Linked DNA regions of Xenopus tropicalis. The protein of the gene in region 1 interacts with the protein of each later gene in a pairwise test. Links are inferred from orthologs where the notes say so. Each region holds a gene or a part of one and is shown on either strand. Other genes may lie near its edges.

The links. The genes of interacting proteins can lie anywhere in the genome.
Region 2: the proteins of ubash3a (region 1) and fgfr1op2 interact in binary tests that used the Homo sapiens proteins (3 or more experiments, as listed by UniProt). The link is inferred for Xenopus tropicalis from reciprocal best matches to the Homo sapiens genes UBASH3A and FGFR1OP2.

Annotation. Positions count from the first base shown.
Region 1 is NC_030678.2:150,459-153,958, reverse strand, and holds part of ubash3a (ubiquitin-associated and SH3 domain-containing protein A), read right to left. Parts: intron 3,229-3,500; coding exon 3,030-3,228; intron 2,632-3,029; coding exon 2,462-2,631; intron 1,994-2,461; coding exon 1,785-1,993; intron 1-1,784. UniProt on the Homo sapiens protein: Interferes with CBL-mediated down-regulation and degradation of receptor-type tyrosine kinases. Promotes accumulation of activated target receptors, such as T-cell receptors, EGFR and PDGFRB, on the cell surface.
Region 2 is NC_030679.2:2,582,704-2,586,983, reverse strand, and holds the start of fgfr1op2 (FGFR1 oncogene partner 2 homolog), read right to left. Parts: upstream 2,801-4,280; 5' UTR 2,697-2,800; intron 1-2,696. UniProt on the Homo sapiens protein: May be involved in wound healing pathway.

The DNA.
Region 1 (3,500 bases):
ACAAGTGACAGGGGCCCTACAGAGCCCCCATTGCTCCTGTGCAGGCAGGGATTCTGGGTAATATGGAGGGGAGGGGCACAAAGTCTTATTTCTCCCATGGTGCTATGTGTCCCACATTGGCCCCCATTTCCTCTTAAAGTGCCTGTGAGAGAGTGTGAGTGAGTGTGTGAGTGAGTGTGTGTGTGTGTGTGAGTGTGTGAGTGTGAGTGAGTGTGTGGCTGTGAGTGTGAGTTAGTGTCTATGAGTGAGAGTGTGCATTTGAGAGTGTGTGTCTGTGAGTGAGTGTGTGTTTGAGAGTGAGTGTGTGCCTGTAAGTAAATGCGATTGAGTATTTGAGTGAGTGTGTGAGTGTGTGTTTGAGAGTGAGTGTGTGTCTGTGAGTGAGTGTGATTGAGTATTTGAGCGAGAGAATGAGAATGAGTGTGTGAGTGAGAATGAGTGTGTCTGAGTGTGAGTGAGTGTATGCCTGTGAGTGTGAGTCTATGAGTGGGAGAGTGTGTAAGTGTGTCTGTGAGTGAGTGTCTATGAGTGAGTGAGTGAGTGTGATGTAGTATGAGTGAGTGTGTGTCTGTGAGTGAGTGTGATTGAGTATGAGTGAGTGTGTGTCTGTGAGTGAGTGTGATTGAGTATGAGTGAGTGTGTGTCTGTGAGTGTGATGTAGTATGAGTGAGTGTGTGTGAGTATGATGTAGTATGAGTGAGTGTTTGTCTGTGAGTGAGTGTGATTGAGTATCAGTTAGTGTGTGTCTGTGAGTGAGTGTGATTGAGTATGAGTGAGTGTGTGTCTGTGAGTGAGTGTGATGTAGTATGAGTGAGTGTGTGTCTGTGAGTGAGTGTGATGTAGTATGAGTGAGTGTGTGTCTGTGAGTGAGTGTGATGTAGTATGAGTGAGTGTGTGTCTGTGAGTGAGTGAGTGAGTGAGTGTGATTGAGTATGAGTGAGTGTGATTGAGTATGAGTGAGTGTGTGTCTGTGAGTGTGATGTAGTATGAGTGAGTGTGTGTGAGTATGATGTAGTATGAGTGAGTGTGTGTGAGTATGATGTAGTATGAGTGAGTGTTTGTCTGTGAGTGAGTGTGATTGAGTATCAGTTAGTGTGTGTCTGTGAGTGAGTGTGATTGAGTATGAGTGAGTGTGTGTCTGTGAGTGAGTGTGATTGAGTATGAGTGAGTGTGTGTCTGTGAGTGAGTGTGATGTAGTATGAGTGAGTGTGTGTCTGTGAGTGAGTGTGATGTAGTATGAGTGAGTGTGTGTCTGTGAGTGAGTGTGATTGAGTATGAGTGAGTGTGTGCCTGTGAGTGTGATTGAGTATGAGTGAGTGTGATTGAGTATGAGTGTGTATGTCTGTGAGTGAGTGTTATTGAGTATGAGTGTGTATGTCTGTGAGTGAGTGTGATTGAGTATGAGTGAGTGTCTGTGAGTGAGTGTGATTGAGTATGAGTGTGTATGTCTGTGAGTGAGTGTGATTGAGTATGAGTGAGTGTGTGTCTGTGAGTGAGTGAGTGTGATTGAGTATGAGTGAGTGTGTGTCTGTGAGTGAGTGAGTGTGATTGAGTATGAGTGAGTGTGTGTCTGTGAGTGAGTGAGTGTGATTGAGTATGAGTGAGTGTGTCTGTGAGTGAGTGTGATTGAGTATGAGAGAGAGTGAGTGTGTAAGTGTGTCTGAGAGTGAGTGTAAGTGAGTGCCTATGAGTGAGTGTGTGTCTGTGAGTGAGTGCCCATAGAAAGGAAATTAGATTGTAAGCTCCCTTGTCTCCCCGATAACCCCACTTGGTGCCCCTGGTACCGGTGCTGGGTCCAAGTCTGAGTCTCGGGCACATTCTCCAGGTAATTCTCCGGTACCAGCCCATGACAGCCGGTTCGGTTGGACACGGCCATTACCCATCCCTCTGGCGCCCCCGACACTCGGGTCCGATCGACGAACACAATATCCCCCTCCGTGAGTGTCAGCTCATCGGGATTCTGTGGTTCAAATGGGAAGAGAGTGCGCAGGGTCTGGGGGGGACACAAGAGAGGCCGTATTGTCCCCATGTCCCAGCATGCCCTGGGGCTGATACCCCATATTAGGGAATGAGCCCCAGGGTATCCTGTTGCCAGGGTGATGGAAATACTCTAGTCATGGGCGGGGCCAGGGGTTACTGAACTATTTTTTTTTCTTTTTTCATGGGAAACAGAGACGGTTCCCCCCAAACCTATTGAGCCCCCCGACTCCCCCACCCACGGCGCAGTTCCAACAGGGGGCAGCAAAATGCATTTGGGCCCAGTGCCCTTTCCTGACTTTCCTTTTTTTTTGGAGAGTTACACCTACTTCCTGGCACTGCTGGGGGGCAACAGTGTGCAGAAGAGCTCACAATCTGTAATTCCCTGTAATTGCCTAGGAATTGCCCCAAATCCTGACTCCTGCCCTCCAATGCCCCCACCCCTTCTGAACTTACCCCTTGCCCCTCCCCCTGCCCCAAATACCTGATAGTAAGCAAATCGCATGTCTCTGGAGAAAAGGACCGCCTCCCACTCACAGCTCTGGGCGGGGCTGATGGACTTGGCCAAGTGCTCTAGTGTCCCCTGGTGGTGGGGCGAGAACTTGTGAGCGAGAGTGAGGTGCAGCTGCTTGGAGAGCGGTCTCACCGGACAGTCTGAAGTAGAAAGAGCGTCAGCTGAGTGGGATCAGAGAATAATCCCTATTGGCTGCTGGGAATAATTTAACTATTGACATTCTGCGCTGAAACCACTAATAACCGTACCCTTCCCACCCCCCCTCCCTCCCCCACAACGGAATTCATTGACTCCCCGGAGTGATAACCAATAGCACAGGGGAATGTATTTCCTGCGACTCACATGTCTCTACTTCCTGTCTGGCAGGGAATTAGCCACTCAGTATCACTTTATGGCAGGAAATCCATGACTTTGTTGTATTGACTCTCAGAGCAGAAGATAAAAGCCCCCAGAGGGGGTAACATTGTTCTACCAATAAATGGGTCCCTCAGGCCCCAGTGGTACCAGGAAGGGCAAGATGTGCCCCCAAAGGCCTTACCTGCCCCCTTTGCCACCTCCTCAGAGAAGCTGCCCATGAAGCTGCGGATGATGGAGGCCTGGGCCTCGCTGATAAAGAAGCCAATGAAGGAGCTGGAGGAATAGAGGGAGAGGGTGATGGAGCGAGGGAAGGAGCCGCGGGTTTCTTCTCCGGCCGCTCTGAGCGCCCAATGTAGAGTCTCCACCTTCCGATCCTCACACTGCGCAGGGGAGGGACAAGATGGCGGAACGTCAGTCCTCAGCGTTTCCTCACGGAAACCAACCCCCACAGATACTGCAGATCCCCCTCCTCGTAGCCAATTACTGAGCCGACTGTAACTGCAGATCCCCCTCACCGTAGCCAATTACTGAGCCGACTGTAACTGCAGATCCCCCTCCCCGTAGCCAATTACTGAGCCGACTGTAACTGCAGATCCCCCTCCCCGTAGCCAATTACTGAGCCGACTGTAACTGCAGATCCCCCTCCCCGTAG
Region 2 (4,280 bases), on another chromosome or scaffold:
AGTGAGGGTGCCAGTCAGTGAGTGAGTGTATGTAAGAGTGAGGGTGCCAGTCAGTCAGTGAGTGTATGTAGGAGTGAGGGTGCCAGTCAGTCAGTGAGTGTATGTAGGAGTGAGGGTGCCAGTCAGTGAGTGAGCGTATGTAAGAGGGAGGGTGCCAGTCAGTGAGTGAGTGTATGTAGGAGTGAGGGTGCCAGTCAGTGAGTGAGTGTATGTAAGAGGGAGGGTGCCAGTCAGTCAGTGAGTGTATGTAAGAGGGAGGGTGCCAGTCAGTCAGTGAGTGTATGTAAGAGTGAGGGTGCCAGTCAGTCAGTGAGTGTATGTAGGAGTGAGGGTGCCAGTCAGTCAGTGAGTGTATGTAAGAGTGAGGGTGCCAGTCAGTGAGTGAGTGTATGTAAGAGGGAGGGTGCCAGTCAGTGAGTGAGTGTATGTAAGAGTGAGGGTGCCAGTGAGTGAGTGAGGGTGCCAGTCAGTCAGTGAGTGTATGTAGGAGTGAGGGTGCCAGTCAGTGAGTGAGTGTATGTAAGAGGGAGGGTGCCAGTCAGTCAGTGAGTGTATGTAGGAGTGAGGGTGCCAGTCAGTCAGTGAGTGTATGTAAGAGGGAGGGTGCCAGTCAGTCAGTGAGTGTATGTAGGAGTGAGGGTGCCAGTCAGTGAGTGAGTGTATGTAAGAGTGAGGGTGCCAGTCAGTCAGTGAGTGTATGTAAGAGGGAGGGTGCCAGTCAGTGAGTGAGTGTATGTAAGAGTGAGGGTGCCAGTGAGTGAGTGAGGGTGCCAGTCAGTCAGTGAGTGTATGTAGGAGTGAGGGTGCCAGTCAGTCAGTGAGTGTATGTAGGAGTGAGGGTGCCAGTCAGTCAGTGAGTGTATGTAGGAGTGAGGGTGCCAGTCAGTCAGTGAGTGAGTGTATGTAGGAGTGAGGGTGCCAGTCAGTCAGTGAGTGTATGTAAGAGGGAGGGTGCCAGTCAGTCAGTGAGTGTATGTAGGAGTGAGGGTGCCAGTCAGTGAGTGAGTGTATGTAAGAGTGAGGGTGCCAGTCAGTGAGTGAGTGTATGTAAGAGGGAGGGTGCCAGTCAGTGAGTGAGTGTATGTAAGAGTGAGGGTGCCCAGTGAGTGAGTGAGGGTGCCAGTCAGTCAGTGAGTGTATGTAGGAGTGAGGGTGCCAGTCAGTCAGTGAGTGTATGTAGGAGTGAGGGTGCCAGTCAGTCAGTGAGTGTATGTAGGAGTGAGGGTGCCAGTCAGTGAGTGAGTGTATGTAGGAGTGAGGGTGCCAGTCAGTCAGTGAGTGTATGTAGGAGTGAGGGTGCCAGTCAGTCAGTGAGTGTATGTAGGAGTGAGGGTGCCAGTCAGTGAGTGAGTGTATGTAGGAGTGAGGGTGCCAGTCAGTGAGTGAGTGTATGTAGGAGTGAGGGTGCCAGTCAGTGAGTGAGTGTATGTAGGAGTGAGGGTGCCAGTCAGTGAGTGAGTGTATGTAGGAGTGAGGGTACCAGTCAGTGAGTGAGTGTATGTAGGAGTGAGGGTGCCAGTCAGTGAGTGAGTGTATGTAGGAGTGAGGGTGCCAGTCAGTCAGTGAGTGTATGTAGGAGTGAGGGTGCCAGTCAGTCAGTGAGTGTATGTAGGAGTGAGGGTGCCAGTCAGTCAGTGAGTGTATGTAGGAGTGAGGGTGCCAGTCAGTCAGTGAGTGTATGTAGGAGTGAGGGTGCCAGTCAGTGAGTGAGTGTATGTAGGAGTGAGGGTGCCAGTCAGTCAGTGAGTGTATGTAGGAGTGAGGGTGCCAGTCAGTGAGTGAGTGTATGTAGGAGTGAGGGTGCCAGTCAGTCAGTGAGTGTATGTAAGAGGGAGGGTGCCAGTCAGTGAGTGAGTGTATGTAAGAGGGAGGGTGCCAGTCAGTGAGTGAGGGTGCCAGTCAGTCAGTGAGTGTATGTAGGAGTGAGGGTGCCAGTCAGTCAGTGAGTGTATGTAAGAGGGAGGGTGCCAGTCAGTCAGTGAGTGTATGTAGGAGTGAGGGTGCCAGTCAGTCAGTGAGTGTATGTAAGAGGGAGGGTGCCAGTCAGTGAGTGAGTGTATGTAGGAGTGAGGGTGCCAGTCAGTGAGTGAGTGTATGTAAGAGGGAGGGTGCCAGTCAGTGAGTGAGTGTATGTAAGAGGGAGGGTGCCAGTCAGTGAGTGAGTGTATGTAGGAGTGAGGGTGCCAGTCAGTCAGTGAGTGTATGTAGGAGTGAGGGTGCCAGTCAGTGAGTGAGTGTATGTAGGAGTGAGGGTGCCAGTCAGTGAGTGAGTGTATGTAAGAGGGAGGGTGCCAGTCAGTGAGTGAGTGTATGTAGGAGTGAGGGTGCCAGTCAGTGAGTGAGTGTATGTAAGAGGGAGGGTGCCAGTCAGTGAGTGAGTGTATGTAGGAGTGAGGGTGCCAGTCAGTGAGTGAGTGTATGTAAGAGGGAGGGTGCCAGTCAGTCAGTGAGTGAGTGTAGGAGTGAGGGTGCCAGTCAGTCAGTGAGTGTATGTAAGAGGGAGGGTGCCAGTCAGTGAGTGAGTGTATGTAAGAGTGAGGGTGCCAGTCAGTGAGTGAGTGTATGTAGGAGTGAGGGTGCCAGTCAGTCAGTGAGTGTATGTAGGAGTGAGGGTGCCGGTGAGTGAGTGAGTGAGTGAGGGTGCCAGTGAGTGAGGGTGCCAGTGAGTGAGGGTGCCAGCCATTGCCCGTACTTACCCTGTCACCCCACAAGCGGCAGATTCGGTCCCAGAGCTCCCAGCCCTTCCGTTTCCGCCCTGGTCCCGTCAGTGAAGCCAAACTCAGCTGAAACCGCAGGTGACGCTACGCGCATGCCTTCTGAGAACCTGTCAAGGACGTCACTTCCGGTGCAAAGGGCCGCCCTGAATATAATTCCGACTGGAAAACTGTATTTCACAGACGTTTCGCTGCTAGAGGTCCGGCTCCCTACAGCGCAAAGCCCTCTTGTAGCGGATATTCGCTCACAGTATCTTCCTGCTCATCTATTAAATTAGCCAATCACTGTATCTCCAGGCGATTAGTGCCCGCCCCCCTGGATAAGATCTACTAAAAACAGAAAGCGGCAGGGACCAAACAGCATGAAAGGGCAAAACGTACGATTAATGGGGTAGCGATGAGCTGCTCAGGCCTGTGACGGGAGGTGAGTAGGGAAGGACACAGGGGTACCCAGGGGCACCCTAGGACTTGTGGGACGGGAGTGCAGGGGGGGCAGGATTTGGGGAGTAGAACTGGGAAGAGAATTTGAGGGAAATGGAAGGTGGGGGGGGGGGGGGGTTCTACAGTTCATGAGTCTGAATAGTATGAGAGGTGGGAGCTGCCCTACTGCTTGTGTAGCCCCGGCACCAACATGTCTTCTCTCTCCCTGTAAGGTCAGAATGGTGAGAAAAGGAGACACCCCAGGTGCATCCAGACTCCCTGCATCTCGTCTGTAACGGCCATTGTGTTCCCCCCATCCCTGCATCACCCCAGCCCAGGGGGCAAAGGGTAAGTACCATGGATATGAAATATATACTGCACTCCATAGGTACAACTGGTTACATTGAATTGTAAGCTCACTGGGACTGAGGGGAATGTGATGGGGACCTTAGATTGTAAGCTCACTGGGGCAGGGACTGATGGGAATGGGATAGGGACCTTAGATTGTAAGCTCACTGGGGCAGGGACTGATGGGAATGGGATAGGGACCTTAGATTGTAAGCTCACTGGGGCAGGGACTGATGGGAATGGGATAGGGACCTTAGATTGTAAGCTCACTGGGGCAGGGGCTGATGGGAATGGTATAGGGGCCTTAGATTGTAAGCTCACTGGGGCAGGGGCTGATGGGAATGGGATAGGGACCTTAGATTGTAAGCTCACTGGGGCAGGGGCTGATGGGAATGGTATGGGGCCTTAGATTGTAAGCTCACTGGGGCAGGGACTGATGGGAATGGTATAGGGGCCTTAGATTGTAAGCTCACTGGGGCAGGGGCTGATGGGAATGGGATAGGGACCTTAGATTGTAAGCTCACTGGGGCAAGGGGCTGATGGGAATGGGATAGGGACCTTAGATTGTAAGCTCACTGGGGCAGGGACTGATGGGAATGTGATAGGGACCTTAGATTGTAAGCTCACTGGGGCAGGGACTGATGGGAATGGGATAGGGACCTTAGATTGTAAGCTCACTGGGGCAGGGGCTGATGGGAATGGGATAGGGACCTTAGATTGTAAGCTCACTGGGGCAGGGGCTGATGGGAATGGGATAGGGCCCTTAGATTGTAAGCTCACTGGGGCAGGGGCTGATGG